Linked DNA regions of Drosophila melanogaster. The protein of the gene in region 2 interacts with the protein of the main gene of each other region in a pairwise test. Each region holds a gene or a part of one and is shown on either strand. Other genes may lie near its edges.

Region 1 (5,595 bases), on a different chromosome or scaffold from region 2:
GCGGAAGTGACATGTCCGGCAAAAAAAGACTTAAGCGGCGAACTTGTCATATATTTTTAACTTCTACCATAAAAAAGCTATATTTATATCTACAACAGCAAGTGACTCGGTCGGCGAATATCGTATAAAAAAACATTTGCAATTGTGGCCTGGACAATGAGGTAATTTAAATGACTGTGTGTTTATTTTTGGCCAAAACTGTTTGAAGACAATACCTTTATATATATATGAACATGACAATCTACATTTTGTGTTTGTCATGGTCTGTCTGCGTATGCCAAAGAACTATATTTAGATAATTATAATTGAATTTGTAACATAGTGTCTTAATAGTGAATTAAAGCTCAAGGACATCACGTTTTACTTTGACATAATTTATATTTACTTAGGTGTATATGTTTTTAAATATTATATTTAATTATAAATAATAATTTTTCAAGTATGTTTTTTAGCAAATTCTTTTCTATATAAACTTCTGTTTATTATTCTGTTGCGATGTGAAGAATACAAATTTCAATCTTATCTATCTCATTTACATGTTGAGTTTTACAAAACGGGCTTCATGAACAATTAAAAATCCCTAAAAAGTTCAGCCAATATATTAAATACTTTATTATCAATAAAATATAAGAGGATTTTCGTTAATGGTATGCAATATATTGCAATGTATCTAATGTTGTGCAATTCTATTGTTTTAAGTTAATCTGGGCTTAAACTTTGACTGTCAGACGGTTGAATTGCTTTGTTATAAAATTCACACAAAGTTGCGTGCTTCACATGATTATTGCTATCACGAAGTCAATTTTGTATGTTCGAATTTTCTATTTAACTGATAATATCACAAATTGAACGACTTGCTATCGTCAGAGTATACTAAAGTGTCGCATTAACAATTTGTACTTTTTAAAATTGTTTGAAACAACGCTTGAAATTATAAATTTTTTATAGAAATTTAGAGATTACCTTTTAATTTTAAATGGCCGTATCAAATTAATATTAAAAACGACAAAGCCAATCTCCGCAATTTTTGCAGTATCCAAAGAAATTGTATTTTTAAAATAAGATTTTAGAATAAATGTATTAATATTCTATTTTGCTTTAACATTTATTTTGTTTAAATGCACTAAGTTTGCACTTCCCAAGAATTGTTTCTGTTGTTCTTATTTCTTAATTTTAATATAGGGTTTGATTTTTCACATATGTATAATGACACTCACGTATTTCTCGAACCGGCTTGAACTCAACTGGTGGCAATTCTATTTCCGCTGCCAAACATAAGCCGGCCATCAGAATTAGAGCAACTACGCCAAAGATACGACCCATTTCGATAGATTGTTTAATATTTAATTTGATACGTTTAGATTGAATGATGTTTTTTTTAATTGACTTCCTCGTTAGGTGAAGTTATTCCACATCCGTTGGATAGCCCAACCTGACCGATGCAAATGCGAATCAACGTCTGAGAGCTGCGATGGGTGGCGGGCTCTTATTTATGGGAAGAAAACAAAACAAATCCAATCAAATCGAAATTGCAAAGACAAACGTAAAATAAAAAAAATAAAAAAAGGCACAAACACAGATGCTCGGCATTAGCAAATAATAGGGATTTGTGGGCGGAGCGGTGGGCGGTGGGTGGTGGGTGGATAACAAAAATAGCTTGAAACTAATCGCCGTCGCAGCTGTAGAAAACAAAGCAAATGCAAAAGTCAATAGACAGTAGACAGTAGACAGTAGCGAAATACAAACGACATTATTAAATTCCCCCGTAAAGTCGTGAAGTGGAAGCCACCCAGCCATCCGATTTGACTTATCGCGACCCCAGTGCGACCCGACATACTCATCACATAACCGCCTACCAACTACCGGCAGCTGTCCCAAGTGATCCGACTCGCTTTGGATGCTTCCTCGACTTGGTGATGGAGATGGTGCTGGAGATCTTGGTCCCAGGCGGCTAATTAAAACGTACCACCTTATTAAATGTCTCGGGGACTTGGGCTTAAGATCACTGTTTCAATTTTTAGAGCTTGAAACTATTCTTCCTGTACTTCCATGCTAATGCTAATGCATTTAACTGAGGCTTTATTTAACTTACTGCAATTTTGTGGCCTAGTAAAATATACATCTGTGTATACCCTCAAAATGAAAAGGCAGAACCTTTTACTGCCTATTTCTGTTTCTACTAGTAAGTAGTAATGAAAGTATAAATCAAACAATTGGTGTCAAGCGTGGCCGTGCTAACAGCTCTAATGCTAATTCTGCTTTTTGCACCTTACGGCAATTTTTAAAGTGCTTGATTAGTGATTATTTAGTCACGTGTGTCTAGTAGGCAACGTACGTCGATTTTGTCAAAGCTTAAAAGGTTGGAAATGAGTCATACGCGTACAACAAATCTTTATACTAATTCGGAAAACCTCAGTTCTTAACAAACAAATAAGTAGGTTATTTTACGCAGGCCAATTTTCGAATACTTTTTTTTTTAGGATCGTTTTAAGATGCGCTGAGTTTACAACGATTTATCAAGTGACCTGGCACAAAAGAGATAAACGCACGTTATCAGCAGACGCAGACTGTCTACAGGAATGTGCCCTTTTGCAACCCCAAATAGACGTCATCTTATCGTCATCTTCGGCATTAAACTGCAAACCCAGAAATGGCACTCCGAGTTCCAAGAAGTGATATCTAAAAAAAGGGAAACAAACGGAAAACAAAAGATCAGTGCCACACACACCTTATCAACAGCAGGATACAAAGGGAGTTGGACAAATGAGGCCGCAAAACACTTTTCGAATAGAGGCCAATTGAACAAGAGTAGCCCAAAATCCATATATGTATATATATATATGACTTTTACAAAAGGCGGCGACATTGAAAAACACAGCAGATAATAGATTTGAAAGAGGAACAAACACGAATTGAATGAACCCAGACAATCGATGGGCGCGCATTTCGCCACCTACTGATCCGGAAAAACTCGGATTGTATTGTATCTGAAATTCAAAAGATCCCAGCTGAACGCACGCAAGAATAAACATGACCAGTAGATAGGGATGCCCAACGGGTGGGCTTACAAGTAGGTAAGTGGGATGGGTTGGGTTTTGGGTTTGGGTTTGGGTATGGGATTGGGTGGCATGTACGCGTGCGCAGGCAAATCGAGCGGGTTTATGATCTTGTTTTCGTTTTGCAAAAAGAAAATTCGTCGTCGATTTGTGTAAACAAAGTTATAAAAGTTGTGGGGGGATTACGAAGAGCGGCAGATAAGGCTTTCGCCATATAAGCTAGTGTACCAATCCACAGGACAGCATTCAATCGAGAGTCTTCGAGTAGAACACACATAGCATAACCATAGCATATCATACCATACAATGGAGCACCATCAGATCTATCGCCACAAAAAGTTCGACATGGGTCGAAAGATTGAGAAATGCGATTTGCAGCTGAAGGAAGAGCTAATCTCCCGGAGCGGCACACCCTGCACCAGTCGGAGTCCTTTCGATGCGGCAAATCAGTCCGTCAGCTTGGGTTTCAGTGATCAGGATGCTGACTTTCCTCCACTGCCAAAGCGTCGTCGTTTGGGATCCTCATCCTCAAGCGTTTCCTACCAATCCGCCAGCCCCATCATAACCGAGGCCATCCAAGACATCTTCAAGTACCACGTCAATATGGTGCGAAAATTCCCGAAGAAGGAGCGTTCACCGAAGGATCAGGAGCGCCGCAACAAGAACACAATTGCCTGCAGGATGAGTCGACGGAAGAAGAAGTTCGATGACCTGCAGATCGAACAGCAGTACAAGGAGTGCTCCGATGAGCACCTCAAGATCGCCGAACAGAGTCTGCGTGCCAGGGTCTATTTGAATCATCTGAAGCAGCTGGTCAAGCAGGAAGACCACCCGCTAGTATCCTCAAGGAGAGTTCCGGAGGAGAATACCAAGAGTAACTTTAGCATCGACTACCTGATAGGTGGTATTAAACAGGAGCATGCTTAGATACGTCCATCTCCTTTTAGGATTGTATTATATAGTTATTATATTAATGCTAAGTTGTTAAGTTTCTTCAAGAACTTTTAGTGCTAAGAAATTTAGTATATATTTAGTATAAATGCCTTAAAAGGTTAAGCAGGAACTTCTTAATAAATAAAATATGAGGATTTAATTTTTACGGCTAATTGATTTTTTATCGTGTGCTTGACTTTTAATCTTCCTTCTAAAAATGGTATAAATATTAATTTATGACATTGGCAGAAAAAGTAATCAAGCGCTAATGAAGCAATGAATATATTAAAAATATATATAAATAAATTTAATAAAATATAATAAAGCGTGGAGCCATCGAAATAAATCCCAATTAATCCCCAGGGGTAGTTCGCGTGGTGTCACAGGCAATCATCAGCCCCTGGAGCAAATCGTTATTGGTGACCCCATCGACTATTGCCTCCCCCCATGGAGAATATCAAGCCAGTCGGATAAAGTTCACTGGGTATTAACCCTGCACCCTGGTCAAACCACTGGCAATAGAGCCGTAAACCGATTGAAACCGCAGCTACGGGAATGTGGGCTTAAATAATAACTACTCCTATTCCCGTCCATCGCTCAGCTGTCATTGTCGCACTTAAAGTTAAACTAAACACTTTAGCTATTAGTAGCTACGATATTTTCAAATACATTGTAATCGAATTGGTCACGCTAAAGGCTTTCATTTGCATAACCCCTAATCCCTGTGGAAAATTTCAACGTATTAATAGGAATGGCAAGTGCTATAGTGTTTCCATTATTTTAATCCGATTAGGTTCCATAAGATGAATATATATGCTATACATGCTATTAAAACTAATTCAGAATTCAATTTCCTTGCTAACCGTTTCTTGTTTTTTTCTTTGACAAAAACGAAGCAGCCATACAACATAATAACTATAAACTTTAATAACATTATTAACGAAACAATAAATTTAGTATACTCTGTCAGGGTTTCTAATCACAGATTAGATCAATGTGCGTCACTGCCGCCGGTGGATGCAGTGGTTTCCATGTCAGATGTATCATTGGGTGGAACTCCACTGCTACTCGGTCCGTGGTCCGTCATGTCATCATCGCTCATTCCCTCCTCGGATAGAGGATCGTGGTCCGCCTCCAGAGGTGGATCCATAGCCTTGACCAATTTCACATACTTCTGGTTCTCGGCTTCCGTAAACATTTTAAACGGCACATCCTTGCCCACAATGGCCACATTTATGGTGAGATTCTCGACATCATCGGAACCCAACGATCCTCGAATGGCCTGAATGGCATGACATATCAGTTCATCCATGTCGCAGTCCTCGAAACTCTCCATATTTCGCTCCAGATATGTGCGAGCACTCTGCGAACGAGATCCAATGGCCATTGCCTTGCAGTTGAGCACATTGGCCGTGGGCATCACCTGGTAGATATGTGGTCCCTGCTCATCGTATCCAGCCACCAGCAAGCCCACACCGTAGGGACGACGATCATAGCGCTGGGTGGTGGTCTGCAGCTTGTTACCCAGATTGGAAACCAAACGGCGAACCGGAAATTCTGCGTTATAGGAGTGCCGATATGCCATGCACTCCGTCCTCATGTACTG
Region 2 (6,196 bases):
TGTTCTTTCTCCATCTCCCTCTCTCTGGCGCGGCTATCATCATCTTTTTCTGTCCCAGTTAAGCAGGATGAGTGCTGCTTGAGTTCGTGGTTGATTGATTGATTCTCCTTTTGATTTGATTAGATCCCCGGAAAGCAGAGTGTCACTTAGTACCTGCTGTTGTTAAACTGCGAATTGATGGCCGTATTAACGGCCGAGGAGGCTGCTTCCTGGACGTGCTGGTTGCGCAGAAACTCGGTGGTGAACTCCGCCTGGGCCTTGGCCATACTGGCCCCTGTGCTGCGGTAGATCGAGTGAATCTTTGTGATCATCAGCACATTGGCCACGGCCACCGCTGTGAAACAGAATGCCACGTTCAACAGCAGAATGCCGACGATAATACCCGACGCTTGCCCATCGAACTGCCCGATGGCCGTAATAAAGCCACAGTAGCCCATCTTGTTGAAGCCCACCGCCTGCACAATCGAGTACAGCGTTTGAAAGAAGTAGATGAAGAAGAAGACCATGAAGTTGAAGCTCGAATCGTTGCGGAATGCCTTGTACGCCGGTCGGAACCTGAAAATTAATCACACATCATCACATTATTCATGTTTTAAGAATCTTCCAGGTATAAACTCACCAGCAGACATAGGAGGCGGGCGAGAAGAGCATCGTGTAGAAGATGGCCAGGAAGAAGGTCTCGAATTCGCCAGCGTGGAACAGCAAAATTAGACCGCCTATCACGTTGGCCAACAACGTCATGGTGTAAACTGTCGGAGAAAGTATTCAAAATAGACACATACAATCAGCATAATGCTATAATCTGTAGGGGAAAGCATTATTATATACTATATACTATGCATGCAGTAAATAATGCTAGAAATGCATTTAAAAACTATCTTAATACTGATAACATGTAAATCAAACAAATTTCATGCTCCCCTCTTTGCAAGCATATTCTGCACAAAGGCACGCACACATCCAAGACCATTAGCCATTCAGCTATATCTGATTAATAATGGCATCGGCCTGTAGACGACACGCGATGACTAATTCCACAACCTATGGCACCGCTTATCAGCGAAAACATGTAGAAAACACAGCCATAAAGAACCAATACTCACAAATCCAAATGTAATACAATCGCTTGACCAGTTTCTGGAACTCGGGCGGTATCTCCACCTCGAAGTCCTGGTAGAAGCACGGCTTTACACAAAAGTTATCCGGCAGCGGTGGCCAGTTGTTCAGCTGCGGCACATTGCCCTGTAGCTGCTGCTCGCGGCGGTCCAGTTCGGCGGCCTTGCGGTCCAACTCCTCCTGCCGGCGCTGGATACAATGAAAATCATATGATTATCGACTGTTTTATATATACATTTTGTATGACTTAATAAATTGGCCGTATATGGTAAATACTTTAAATCTTATTCATTTACATATTTGGGAAAACAAAGGCGAAATTCAATGATAGGAATTCACATCCAAATCTTGAGTTTGTTAAACTTCTATCTTAACCTCAGGCATTTGGCCTATCTATAGGAAATATTCTGTACAAGAATAAAGTGCAAACTTAAGCCTCCAAATCATATGTATTTAGATCTACTAACTAGTATTTCTTGAATTATTGTGTAGGGCCGAAGAAGCCAAGTAAATCAAGAGAAACCGCAGTTTGCACAGTGAAGACTCGGCGCGGCAGCCGCTTCTAGTCTCAACCAGATAAATGCTCCAAAGCGGATATATCGTTGGCAGATCGAGATAAGCCCGCTTATCTTTCTGACTCTTGATGGAGAGTAAAATGTGATATGCCTGCCCTAATCCCGGCACTCTAGCAAAGTGATTACTGTACAGACTTTTAGGGCAAACTTTTAGTGTAACTGTGTGGTGTGGTCCATTTCGATTGTTTCCGAGTATTTGGATGTACATATGCGGTTTTTGGAGTATTGCGGATGTGGCCATGCCGGCACAGCACACCGCAGAGTGCTCACTGTTGTGTGGGCGGTAACGCGAGACGACCGGCCAAGTGGGTTACCTGCAGCTCCTCCGAGGTGATCTGTATGCTGGTGCTAGGCGCCGAGGCGCCCAGGGAACTGGTCTGCGGGGGCGGAATGTTCTGCGATAGCGGCTGGACCACCGCCGCCGTGTTCGTTGAGTTGATCTGCAGCTGCGGCTTGGCCTGCTCCTCGAATGGATTGTAATCCTCAAGAGAGACAAGGGCGGCGCCGCTCTGGAGTCGTCGTGCCTGCTGGATGGCGGGGTCCTGCGGGGGAAAACCGGGAAATCCCAATCAGAAACCAATTCATTCAACATATGTGACGAATGCACCCAACACACACACACACTACACTCACAGGCACGCACACCAACACCCCACCTTTGCGTACGTGTGCGTGTGTGTGCGATGGGTTTTTTCTTCGGCTTCCGCGCTCTCTCTCCTAGCTCTTCTATCGCCTCACCGCAAACGGATTGTCCAGATTGGGCTCCCCGAAGGGATTCTCGTCGAGACCGGAGCCGGACATGGGAATTCTACTTTGGATACGGCTGTTCAATGACCAGAAAAACGCACTGACTCGCACTTTGCTTTTCGCTGTGTATATTTTCCCTAAGACTCTGCTCAGTTATCGATGTCGGTTTTAGTGATGGTTCAGCATCGATAAGCTTTCGTTGGGAATCAAAGTGTAGGCCTCAAATATCGAAAGAATTACTTTAAAGAATTAATGTTATTTGAATTACATATTAAATTCATTTTGGCAGAAAAACTTATTATTTAACACATTTAACATTAATCTAGAATTCTGAAAAATGTGAATAACTGGTATACAATGGTCTGATTTTTTAGGACCTATTAATACATTTTATTAAAATGATAGCAAAAAGAAAAGATTCTATATACAATTGGATGTAAACCAGCAGTTATCATATGAATTTTAAATTTAAATGGCAACAATCGTGCCAATCGGAACTGCTCCAGCTGAACCAGCTGCGTGGAACCAGTTCCCATCCCTGGGGCCGCCATTCCGCAATTGGAATTCTAGTGTCTTGGGTTGCGATTCGATTCATTTACCGCTGCCCGCGTCTCCAATTCGGTTGTGTGCGATTCTGTCTGCTCCGCATCCAAGTCAAACATCCAATCCTTGCAAGAATGTCGAAGCCCAGCTACAAAGTCGGTGAGTTGCGTTATAAATAAACCCAAACGGATGGCAAACTCTCGAATCGAATCTCCGGCCGGCAACAGGCGACATGTGCGGGTGAATTGCATCTATTCATGAGCACATGTTTCTGAGGTTAAAAGAGAGACAAAACAGAGGAGAGCACGTTGTTGCTGGGGCAAAAAACGTAGAAATTCAGACCGTATGGTGTATAAATCAACAGTGCCTGCTTATCTGACCCTATCTCCCTTTTATATCCCACTCGACAGCCGATATCAGTCTGGCGGAATGGGGACGCAAGGCGATCATTATTGCGGAGAACGAGATGCCCGGTCTGATGGCCTGCAGGAAGAAGTACGGCCCATCTAAGCCCCTCAAGGGCGCCCGCATCACCGGCTGCCTGCACATGACCGTCCAGACCGCCGTGCTCATCGAGACCCTCGTCGAACTGGGCGCTCAGGTGGGTTCAGTGCCTCTTTGGCGCTCTAAATGATTTTATGCATCGTACCACCATTCGAATTGTATGCCCAACTGTAGGTCTGAACAGTCGGGATAATACACAAAGATAGCATCATTTCAATACTAAAAACCATTTCAAAAACCATAAAACCGACCAAAATTCCGTAAGGAAATTGTAAATTAGGTAGAAAGATAGGTATCTCCAAGCATTGTCCAAGGGCTGGTCCCTTATCACCTTTGGTTTACGCACCAATTTGAATAACAAAACTTTCGTTTAACAGCAGGGGGGCAAGTTCAAGGCGCCCAAGATAAGACCTCCAGATTGTTATTTCCTCTGACGCAGCACCATCTGCTTCAATCCTCGCACATGGCAACTATTTTCTGCCAAATGCTGATGTCCTGAAATACATAGATTTCCTGATATAGATCAATCCTATATGCAATGCAAATCAGTTTGCAAATATCTATATAATTTAGGTTCCTTCCCATCCACATCTCAACTTCAACGCATGAACTACATTTTCATTCTTTTATCCAGGTCCAATGGTCCAGCTGCAACATCTTCAGCACCCAGGATAATGCTGCCGCGGCCATCGCTGCCACCGGCGTGCCCGTGTACGCCTGGAAGGGTGAGACCGATGAGGAGTACATGTGGTGCATCGAGCAGACCTTGGTCTTCCCCGACGGCCAGCCCCTGAACATGATCCTGGACGATGGCGGCGATCTGACCAACCTGGTGCACGAAAAGTTCCCCCAGTATCTGAAAAACATCAAGGGCCTCAGCGAGGAGACGACCACCGGTGTCCACAACCTGTACAAGATGTTCAAGGAGGGTCGTCTTGGCGTACCGGCCATCAATGTCAACGATTCGGTGACCAAGAGCAAGTTTGACAATCTGTATGGCTGCCGCGAGTCGCTGATCGATGGCATCAAGCGGGCCACGGACGTCATGATCGCTGGAAAGGTCTGCTGCGTGGCCGGATACGGTGATGTGGGCAAGGGCTGTGCCCAGGCACTGAAAGGATTCGGTGGTCGGGTGATCGTCACCGAGGTCGATCCCATCAACGCCCTGCAGGCGGCGATGGAGGGCTATGAGGTTACCACCATGGAGGAGGCCAGCAAGGAGGCTTCCATCTTTGTGACCACCACCGGCTGCCGGGACATCATCACCAGCGTGCACTTGCAACAAATGCCCGACGATGCCATCGTGTGCAACATCGGCCACTTCGACATCGAGATCGACGTGGACTGGCTAAACGCCAATGCCAAAGAAAAGGTGAACGTGAAGCCCCAAGTAGATCGGTACACAATGCAGAGTGGCAAGCACATCATCCTGCTGGCCGAGGGTCGTCTGGTGAACCTGGGCTGTGCCCACGGCCATCCCAGCTTCGTGATGTCCAACTCCTTCACCAACCAGGTGCTCGCCCAGATCGAGCTGTGGACCAAGTCCGACAAGTACGCCGTCGGCGTGCATGTCCTGCCCAAGATCCTCGACGAAGAGGTGGCCAGTCTTCATCTGGAGAAGCTGGGCGTAAAGCTGACCAAACTGACGGAGAAGCAGGCCACCTACTTGGGCGTCTCGCAGACCGGTCCCTTCAAGCCCGACCATTACCGGTACTGAGCACCCGATTCGCCAACCGGTTCCACACCCGAATCCATAACCGAATCGGGACGCGGCGCCGGAGACGACGGACCCACACTAGTTATCTATTGTCTGCGCATTTCACTGTTCACCTAAGCAGCTCCAATAAAAACCCATCTCACGTACTCTCAGCGAGAGAAAACCCCACATAGCTCCAATGTTTTTTCTTTCCCCTCTAAATGGCGGAGCATATTGGTTTAGAATATTAGTTTTTGTACGGCATTAAGTTTATGGGTTTTATACAATTTATTAAGCTTACATATATTCATATTCATACATATATTCATAATACTAATAATGTTTTCGAAATCGTGAAAATGCTTTGTCATTATTTGTAAAGACGCTCAAAAACATCTCCTTTTATTTTGAAGCACGTGTTGACTATCAAAAACATACGATGTGTGAAAGCAATCTGATTGTTGAATTACAACTTGAAAAAAACAGTGACTCAACAAATTAGGATTTCTTTAAATAAATAAGATCAAGGGCAAAACGAAACATCTGGAAGAAAGTCAAAATTCATTATCTACCAAAAGTTTTGGTCCAAAACACAAATATGTAAGCAAATTCTAAGTGATAATGCGTGAATGGATTTTATATGCGGAAAATGGCTTTAAGCCTTATCTGCAACTATTTATAAACAATGTTGTTAAGCGGAGGGAACTAAATAAATATTTTATGTTAATTGAATAATACAATATTTGTAATGATTAATTTATTTTGAAATTCCATTTTTCTTTCTGATCCCCATTAAAATTTCGACCTACGTCCATGCACTTGTATGATCTCGTGCTTATCGTTATCGCCATCATCCCAATTGTAACGTAGGGTATTCGAGGAAAGAGATGGCCGACTCTCGCAGAGCCCGTTAATTATCAGCTGGTCGCCGTCGCCATCCCGCTCCCTCCCGCGAGACAAATCATGCCGCCATCCCGCTCCCACCTGCAATTGCAATTGTAAACCGCTGTTTTGT
Region 3 (6,196 bases), 4.3 Mb from region 2:
TTCGCTGGCTGGGCCTTGTTCTCCTTGCTGACCTCAAGCTCCTGCTCCTGCTCCTGCTCTTGCTTCGGCTTTACTTCGGTTTCGTCTTCGCTGTCGGACGAGTCGTAGGAGAACGGATTGAGAGTGGCCAGTCCGAGCTTATTGGCAGACGTCTTGCCCACCAGGATCTTCTCATGGCCCAGCTTCTCCAACTGGTCCTGGCGCTTGGCCACCTCCTTCTCCGGTGCACTGCCGAACATGTCCAGCAGGCTGAAACCCTCTCCACGCGTGTTCAGCGAATCCCTCAACGTGTCGGTGACAATGTAAAAGGCCGTCTTCGAGACGGCTGAAGCTTGACTGTTGCCCGCGTCGGCGGTCTTGGCTTTCGTACTGGAAGTCTCCTCCTTCTTCTCCTCCTCCTCCTTGGGCTGCTTTTGGCGCATTAGCTTCTGATGGCCCTCCTTGGCCGGATCGAAGCGCAGCATCTTTTTGTTCTTTGGCGACTTACCGTCCTTATCGTTCGCACTGGTGATCGCGTGTCCCACAACCTGCTCCAGAATGTTCATGTGCCATTTGCGCTCACTCTCCTCCGGCTCAGGCTGATCCTCCAGCTCCGCCTCTTCCTCCTCGTTCACAAAGTTCGATGTGATGCGGAAGCGGGGATCTATACTCTGTTTGCTCTGCATCTCCACCAGACGCTCGCCCTTCTTGCCCTTATGCTGCGGCAGGACGATCTGCTCCTCTTCCTCATCGTCGTCGTTCTCGAACAGATCCCGCTTTTGTATCTTGGCTTTCTGGACGGGCTTGGACGCCTCCTCCTCCTCGGCGTCGCTGAATTTTATTCTCTTTGCCTGACTGCCTTCGACTGATATCACAGATAGCGCCTGCTGGATGGCTGACTTCTTTTGTTGGTGTCCCTGACGCATCTTGTTGAGCGACTCCTTGCGCTTCTGTTCCGCCTGGCTGACATTGGCGTCCGGCTTCTGTTTGGCTGCCTTGCGGTGCTGTTCGATGACATGGAGTGGCTTCACGTCGTGCTCCTGCTGGATGACAATCTGTGGGAAAGGAAAGGAAAGGAATTTAGCTGACAATGAGCTTGGGAACAATGAGTGCGTGCATACCCGGCCATTGTGCATGGAATTGGCGGCGCGCTTCTTGGTAATCAGCAGCTCTGGAGCGACCTCATCATCACCAATCTCCTCATCCTCTCCGAATACCCTGCGCTTGTTTTGGCCACTTTGCACCAGGAGCTGAGAGCTCGGCGCACGCACCTCGGACTCGTCTGGCTCGCCCTGTTCCCGGCGCTGGTTCTCTTCGCGTTCGCGCTTCAGTCGATCCAAAAACGATTCTTTGGCAAGAGAAACTCTTAGCTTTTCGCCGTGCAACTTCTGCCATTTGAGCTCGTTGACGCCTACAAAACCAAGCTATGGTTACTCCTTCCGTCTGGCTGTGATCTTCCGCGGATAACTTACAGTACTGGGCATCATCCGTCTGCACGGTGACGAAGGCAATCACCTTAGTGGCCCCATCCTGCTCCTTGCGCTTCAGATCCACGTGCTCTACGTGACCGTAGTCCTGGAACAGGATCTGCAGGTCCGACTCCGAGGTCCTGGTCGGCAGATCCGCCAGGAAGAACCGAGTGCTGCCCATATTATGTTTACGCTTGCAATGCACGTGTAGAATCCAAATCCCGGCAAGAATTGCTGTGGGCCAGTGTGACCGCGGGCAGATAAAAACTTACACTTAAATATAGCCACAATTCCAATTCCCAATTGCTTTATACAGGTTTTTAACAAGTCCAAGCAACACTAAACCAGCTTTCAAATTTATTTAGCAACTTTGTAAATAGGCAAATACATTAAGTTAGACAAAAATAATCCCCATCGGTCAGTGTTGCAAGGCGAGCAATACAATTACTTTAGGTGCGCAGCTGGCTGGTCACACTGGCAGCAGACGTCACAATAAATTCTATTATTTTGTTTTGTTTTGTGCGAAAAGTTTGCAGGCCAGCAATCGTGGACTAGCCCACAAACAACGGCAGCATGGCGAGCGGGACAAGCGGCACAAGCAGCAGTGAAACGGCCCAGTCGACGGACATGGCACCATCATCGGCCGAGAAGTGGGGCTTCCCTTTGATTGAGCTCTACCGCCTGGCATTCACGTTCTACAAGCGTAAGAGCAGAGATCCCGGCACTAGCGCACCAATAACGGCTAATCTCACATATTGCAGGGAACTCCGGCAAGGCCATCCACTTGTCGTACGAGGACAACCTCAAGCTGATCGCCTTCAAGCAGCAGGCGGCGCTGGGCCCCTTCAACACGAGTCGCGCCCCGGCGCTGGGCGTCCTGGACGTGATCGGACGCGACCGGCAGCAGCACTGGCAGCTGCTCGGTGAGATAACGCGCGAGCAGGCGATGGAGGGGTTCGTCGACCTGCTGGACACAATGTGCAGCGCCTTTCGGCCGTACATTGAGGCCGTGCGGCAGGACCGCGACGAGACGCTGCGCAAGGAGCTGCGCCTCATGGAGGAGAAGAAGGAGGCACGCGAGCGGCAGGAGAACGCCCAGCAGGAGCTGCTCGAGGAGGGTTACAAGGAGGAGCTGCAGCGCCGCCAGCTGCAGGACGCACTCAACAAGCAGACTTACCAGCAGTTTAAGGTAGCCCATCGATTTTTTCAACAACACACCGGCCCGGCCCTCTGCACCTGTTGTTGTGCTAAATAATGCATGATAATTACTGGGTGCTCGGCCTTGGCTGCGCTGTCTGCCATTGAAAAGGGGTCATGACCCAGTTCTCAGGCAATTGCATGCCAGCTCCTGTACCATTAACTTGGCCCTTCTAACGCTTACACTCGTTCCACAGCTGTACGCTGAGAAGCAGTTCCCCGGAAACCCCGAACAGCAGGCCGTGCTTATCCACCAGCTGCAGCGGGAGCACTATCACCAGTACATGCAACAGCTTCATCTGCAGAACCAGAACCAGAATCAGAATCAGAACACGGAGGACAAGGGACACCAGGAAGCAGAACACGTCCCTGGCAATAACAACAACAGCTCAACCGACTTGCCCAACGCCATGGAGGGACTGAAGCTCGGTGAGGTCGAGACACAGCAGCACCAGCAGCTGGCCGAGCAGCAAGACGGGCATGTAGAGCAGACGTTGGAGGGCGTTGGGCAGGAACAGCACGGCGAGGAAGAGTACGACGACTACGTTATGATCTGCCCGGCCAAGATCTGGACTCGTCCCGACATCGAGCAGTTTAAGACTGAGGTGTCCGCCGGCGATGGGGACGGCGTCATCACCATTGGACACGGCGACACGGTGACGGTAGGTGGCAATCAACTAATGACGAAACAAGGCCCATATTGACCGGCACAATTTTGCAGGTCCGTGTGCCCACCAACATGAACGGCAAGTGCATCTTCTGGGAGTTCGCCACGGACAGCTACGACATCGGCTTCGGCATCTACTTCGAGTGGGCCAAGCCCGTGACCAACGAGGTGACCGTGCATGTGAGCGACTCCGACGAGGACGAGGATTGCGTGGACGAGGACTACCTATCCACCACCGAGGACCTGGAGTCCGGCTCGCTGTCGCAGGAGCGCGGCGCAGTTAACAACCCGACTGCTGCCCCCAAGGCACCCATTTCCATTATCGTACCGATCTATCGACGGGAGTGCTACAACGAGGTCTACGTGGGCTCCCACTCCTATCCGGGCGAGGGCGTCTATTTGCTGAAGTTCGACAACAGCTACAGCATCTGGCGCAATAAGACGCTGTACTACCGCGTCTACTACGAGCGTTAAGAGGCCAAAATGTATTTACTTACCACTAACTTAGATGAATCCTATCTCCGTACGAACGGCTAATGTGCAAGTCCGGAATAATCTGTATGTGCGTGTGCGTGAGGTTTTGGTTTTACGTGTGCGTTGCTGCAATTCCGGGAAACAAGCGGCGGGAAAAGACCATGCCGATTTCAGACTAAACCAATATTATTTATTATTTAGTTGTAACCGACGAAGACAAGTCCAAAATTCAATTTGAAACTAATAAACAATATAAAGACAACTGTAAATAATCACTTTTCGAAATCTCTTTGCTTCTTAATGAAGAATAAATTATTCGTAAAATTCACTTAGGAAACTTCTTCATACGACACAATTGCTATTACCAATTTTGGGCATTGAAACAACTATTATTATTATTTTATATTAAATAAAAATTGCATTAAAGTATAGTTAAGAATTTGGCTCGTGTAAGGGGCCCTAACACTAACGGTCCCACGATTTGCTGGTTGTGGTTTCTATCGGTGCCTGGTCACACTGGCCATTATGCATGCACTTCGTAATTTTGCCGGCAATGGAATAGCAAATGTATTTGGCTGTGGGATCAGGCGCCGGCTCAGCTATGTCCTGGGCATCGAGACCTCCTGCGACGACACGGGCATCGCCATCGTGGACACCACGGGCCGAGTGATTGCCAATGTGCTGGAGTCGCAACAGGAGTTCCACACCCGGTGAGTGCTCACATCTCCGCATGCGGTGCCCAATGATGAACTGAATCGATTGCAGCTATGGAGGCATTATTCCGCCCAGGGCCCAGGACCTTCACCGCGCCCGCATCGAGTCCGCCTACCAGCGCTGCATGGAGGCGGCGCAATTGAAGCCGGACCAACTGACGGCCATCGCGGTGACCACGCGTCCCGGACTGCCGCTGAGTTTGCTGGTGGGCGTGCGCTTTGCACGGCACCTGGCCCGTCGCCTGCAGAAGCCCCTGCTGCCCGTTCACCACATGGAGGCGCACGCGCTGCAGGCCCGCATGGAACATCCGGAGCAGATCGGCTACCCCTTCCTCTGCTTGCTGGCCAGCGGCGGCCACTGTCAGTTGGTGGTGGCTAACGGCCCCGGTCGCCTTACGCTTCTTGGCCAAACACTGGATGATGCGCCCGGCGAGGCCTTTGACAAGATCGGTCGGCGACTACGCCTGCACATTCTGCCGGAGTACCGCTTGTGGAACGGAGGACGGGCCATTGAGCATGCCGCCCAGCTGGCCAGCGATCCGCTGGCCTACGAGTTTCCGCTGCCACTTGCCCAGCAGCGGAACTGCAACTTCAGCTTCGCCGGCATCAAGAACAACTCCTTCCGGGCCATCCGAGCGCGCGAGCGGGCAGAGCGGACACCTCCGGACGGAGTCATCAGCAACTACGGCGACTTCTGCGCCGGCCTGCTGCGCTCTGTCAGCCGGCACCTGATGCACCGCACGCAGCGGGCAATTGAGTACTGCCTCCTGCCGCACAGGCAGCTCTTCGGTGACACCCCGCCCACACTGGTCATGTCCGGCGGTGTGGCCAACAACGATGCCATATACGCCAACATCGAACATCTGGCCGCGCAGTATGGCTGCAGGAGCTTCCGTCCATCGAAGCGGTACTGCTCCGACAACGGCGTCATGATCGCCTGGCACGGCGTTGAGCAACTGCTGCAGGATAAAGAGGCCAGCACGCGCTACGACTACGACAGCATTGATATCCAGGGCAGCGCGGGATTCGCCGAGTCGCACGAGGAAGCTGTCGCTGCGGCGGCCATAAAATGCAAGTGGATACAGCCACTGGTTTGATCACTAGCCCCTGTTGTGTTTTATACATTCTTACATAAAGTTACAGATGAATCCTTGTTCGTTGTTGAATCCTGTTTGTCTGATTTACAAATTAATAATATATTCATAATATTTTTGAGTGTGTGAGTTCTTTGGCGCTGCAGAGTTCCTACTTGCTAAGAGCCACCTTGCTAGCTCTGGTGGCTTCCGAGATCTCGACGTTTATGCTGACGAACAATAGGACATGGCCAGATAATCAAAATATAGTTTATAGTAATGGAAAAGCTTTGCCTCCACCTGTTGGCCACTTTTCCAGGAACGTAATAACTGATATGACGACAGGTCTTTATCACGCGAATCGATATAGAAATAAACAACCACAAATGAATCACAAATGCTATATAAAAATCACAATTGCATTGAATTTATGTAATTTTATACATATAAAAAGTACATTTTCGCTTGTGCATCTTTGGTGGGATGTTCCCTTTTTTTTTTTCATTTCAGGCAAGACAGTGAGTGGTTTCGTTTTGGATTTCGTTTTATTATAAGATATTATCTGAAATCAATAATGTTAAATCACTAAGGTCTAGAAAAAAAATGTAAAAATTGATAATGTGT

The links.
Region 1: the proteins of Ahcy (region 2) and Mabi interact in a two-hybrid assay, tested with the Drosophila melanogaster proteins (one large-scale study listed by BioGRID).
Region 3: the proteins of Ahcy (region 2) and Tcs4 interact in a two-hybrid assay, tested with the Drosophila melanogaster proteins (one large-scale study listed by BioGRID).

The regions. Positions count from the first base shown.
Region 1 is NT_033779.5:13,232,363-13,237,957, reverse strand, and holds Mabi (mabiki), read left to right. Parts: upstream 1-3,297; 5' UTR 3,298-3,362; coding exon 3,363-3,983; 3' UTR 3,984-4,160; downstream 4,161-5,595. Other genes in the region: Jhbp14 (juvenile hormone binding protein 14), read right to left, coding at 1,218-1,323; Prosalpha6T (proteasome alpha6 subunit, Testis-specific), read right to left, coding at 4,981-5,595. UniProt on the Drosophila melanogaster protein: Plays a role in inducing apoptosis and is involved in the repair of head patterning defects in the embryo caused by extra maternal copies of the homeotic gene bicoid.
Region 2 is NC_004354.4:15,447,276-15,453,471, forward strand, and holds Ahcy (adenosylhomocysteinase), read left to right. Parts: upstream 1-2,985; 5' UTR 2,986-3,115; coding exon 3,116-3,140; intron 3,141-3,391; coding exon 3,392-3,582; intron 3,583-4,119; coding exon 4,120-5,202; 3' UTR 5,203-5,892; downstream 5,893-6,196. Other genes in the region: scamp, read right to left, coding at 147-555, 620-749, 1,104-1,305, 2,006-2,233, 2,430-2,492. UniProt on the Drosophila melanogaster protein: Adenosylhomocysteine is a competitive inhibitor of S-adenosyl-L-methionine-dependent methyl transferase reactions; therefore adenosylhomocysteinase may play a key role in the control of methylations via regulation of the intracellular concentration of adenosylhomocysteine.
Region 3 is NC_004354.4:19,699,844-19,706,039, reverse strand, and holds the start of Tcs4 (Threonyl-carbamoyl synthesis 4), read left to right. Parts: upstream 1-4,284; 5' UTR 4,285-4,311; coding exon 4,312-4,496; intron 4,497-4,551; coding exon 4,552-5,596; 3' UTR 5,597-6,196. Other genes in the region: CG14230 (uncharacterized protein), read right to left, coding at 1-1,034, 1,101-1,390, 1,452-1,629; CG14232 (uncharacterized protein), read left to right, coding at 2,022-2,151, 2,210-2,637, 2,843-3,307, 3,367-3,786. UniProt on the Drosophila melanogaster protein: Required for the formation of a threonylcarbamoyl group on adenosine at position 37 (t(6)A37) in mitochondrial tRNAs that read codons beginning with adenine.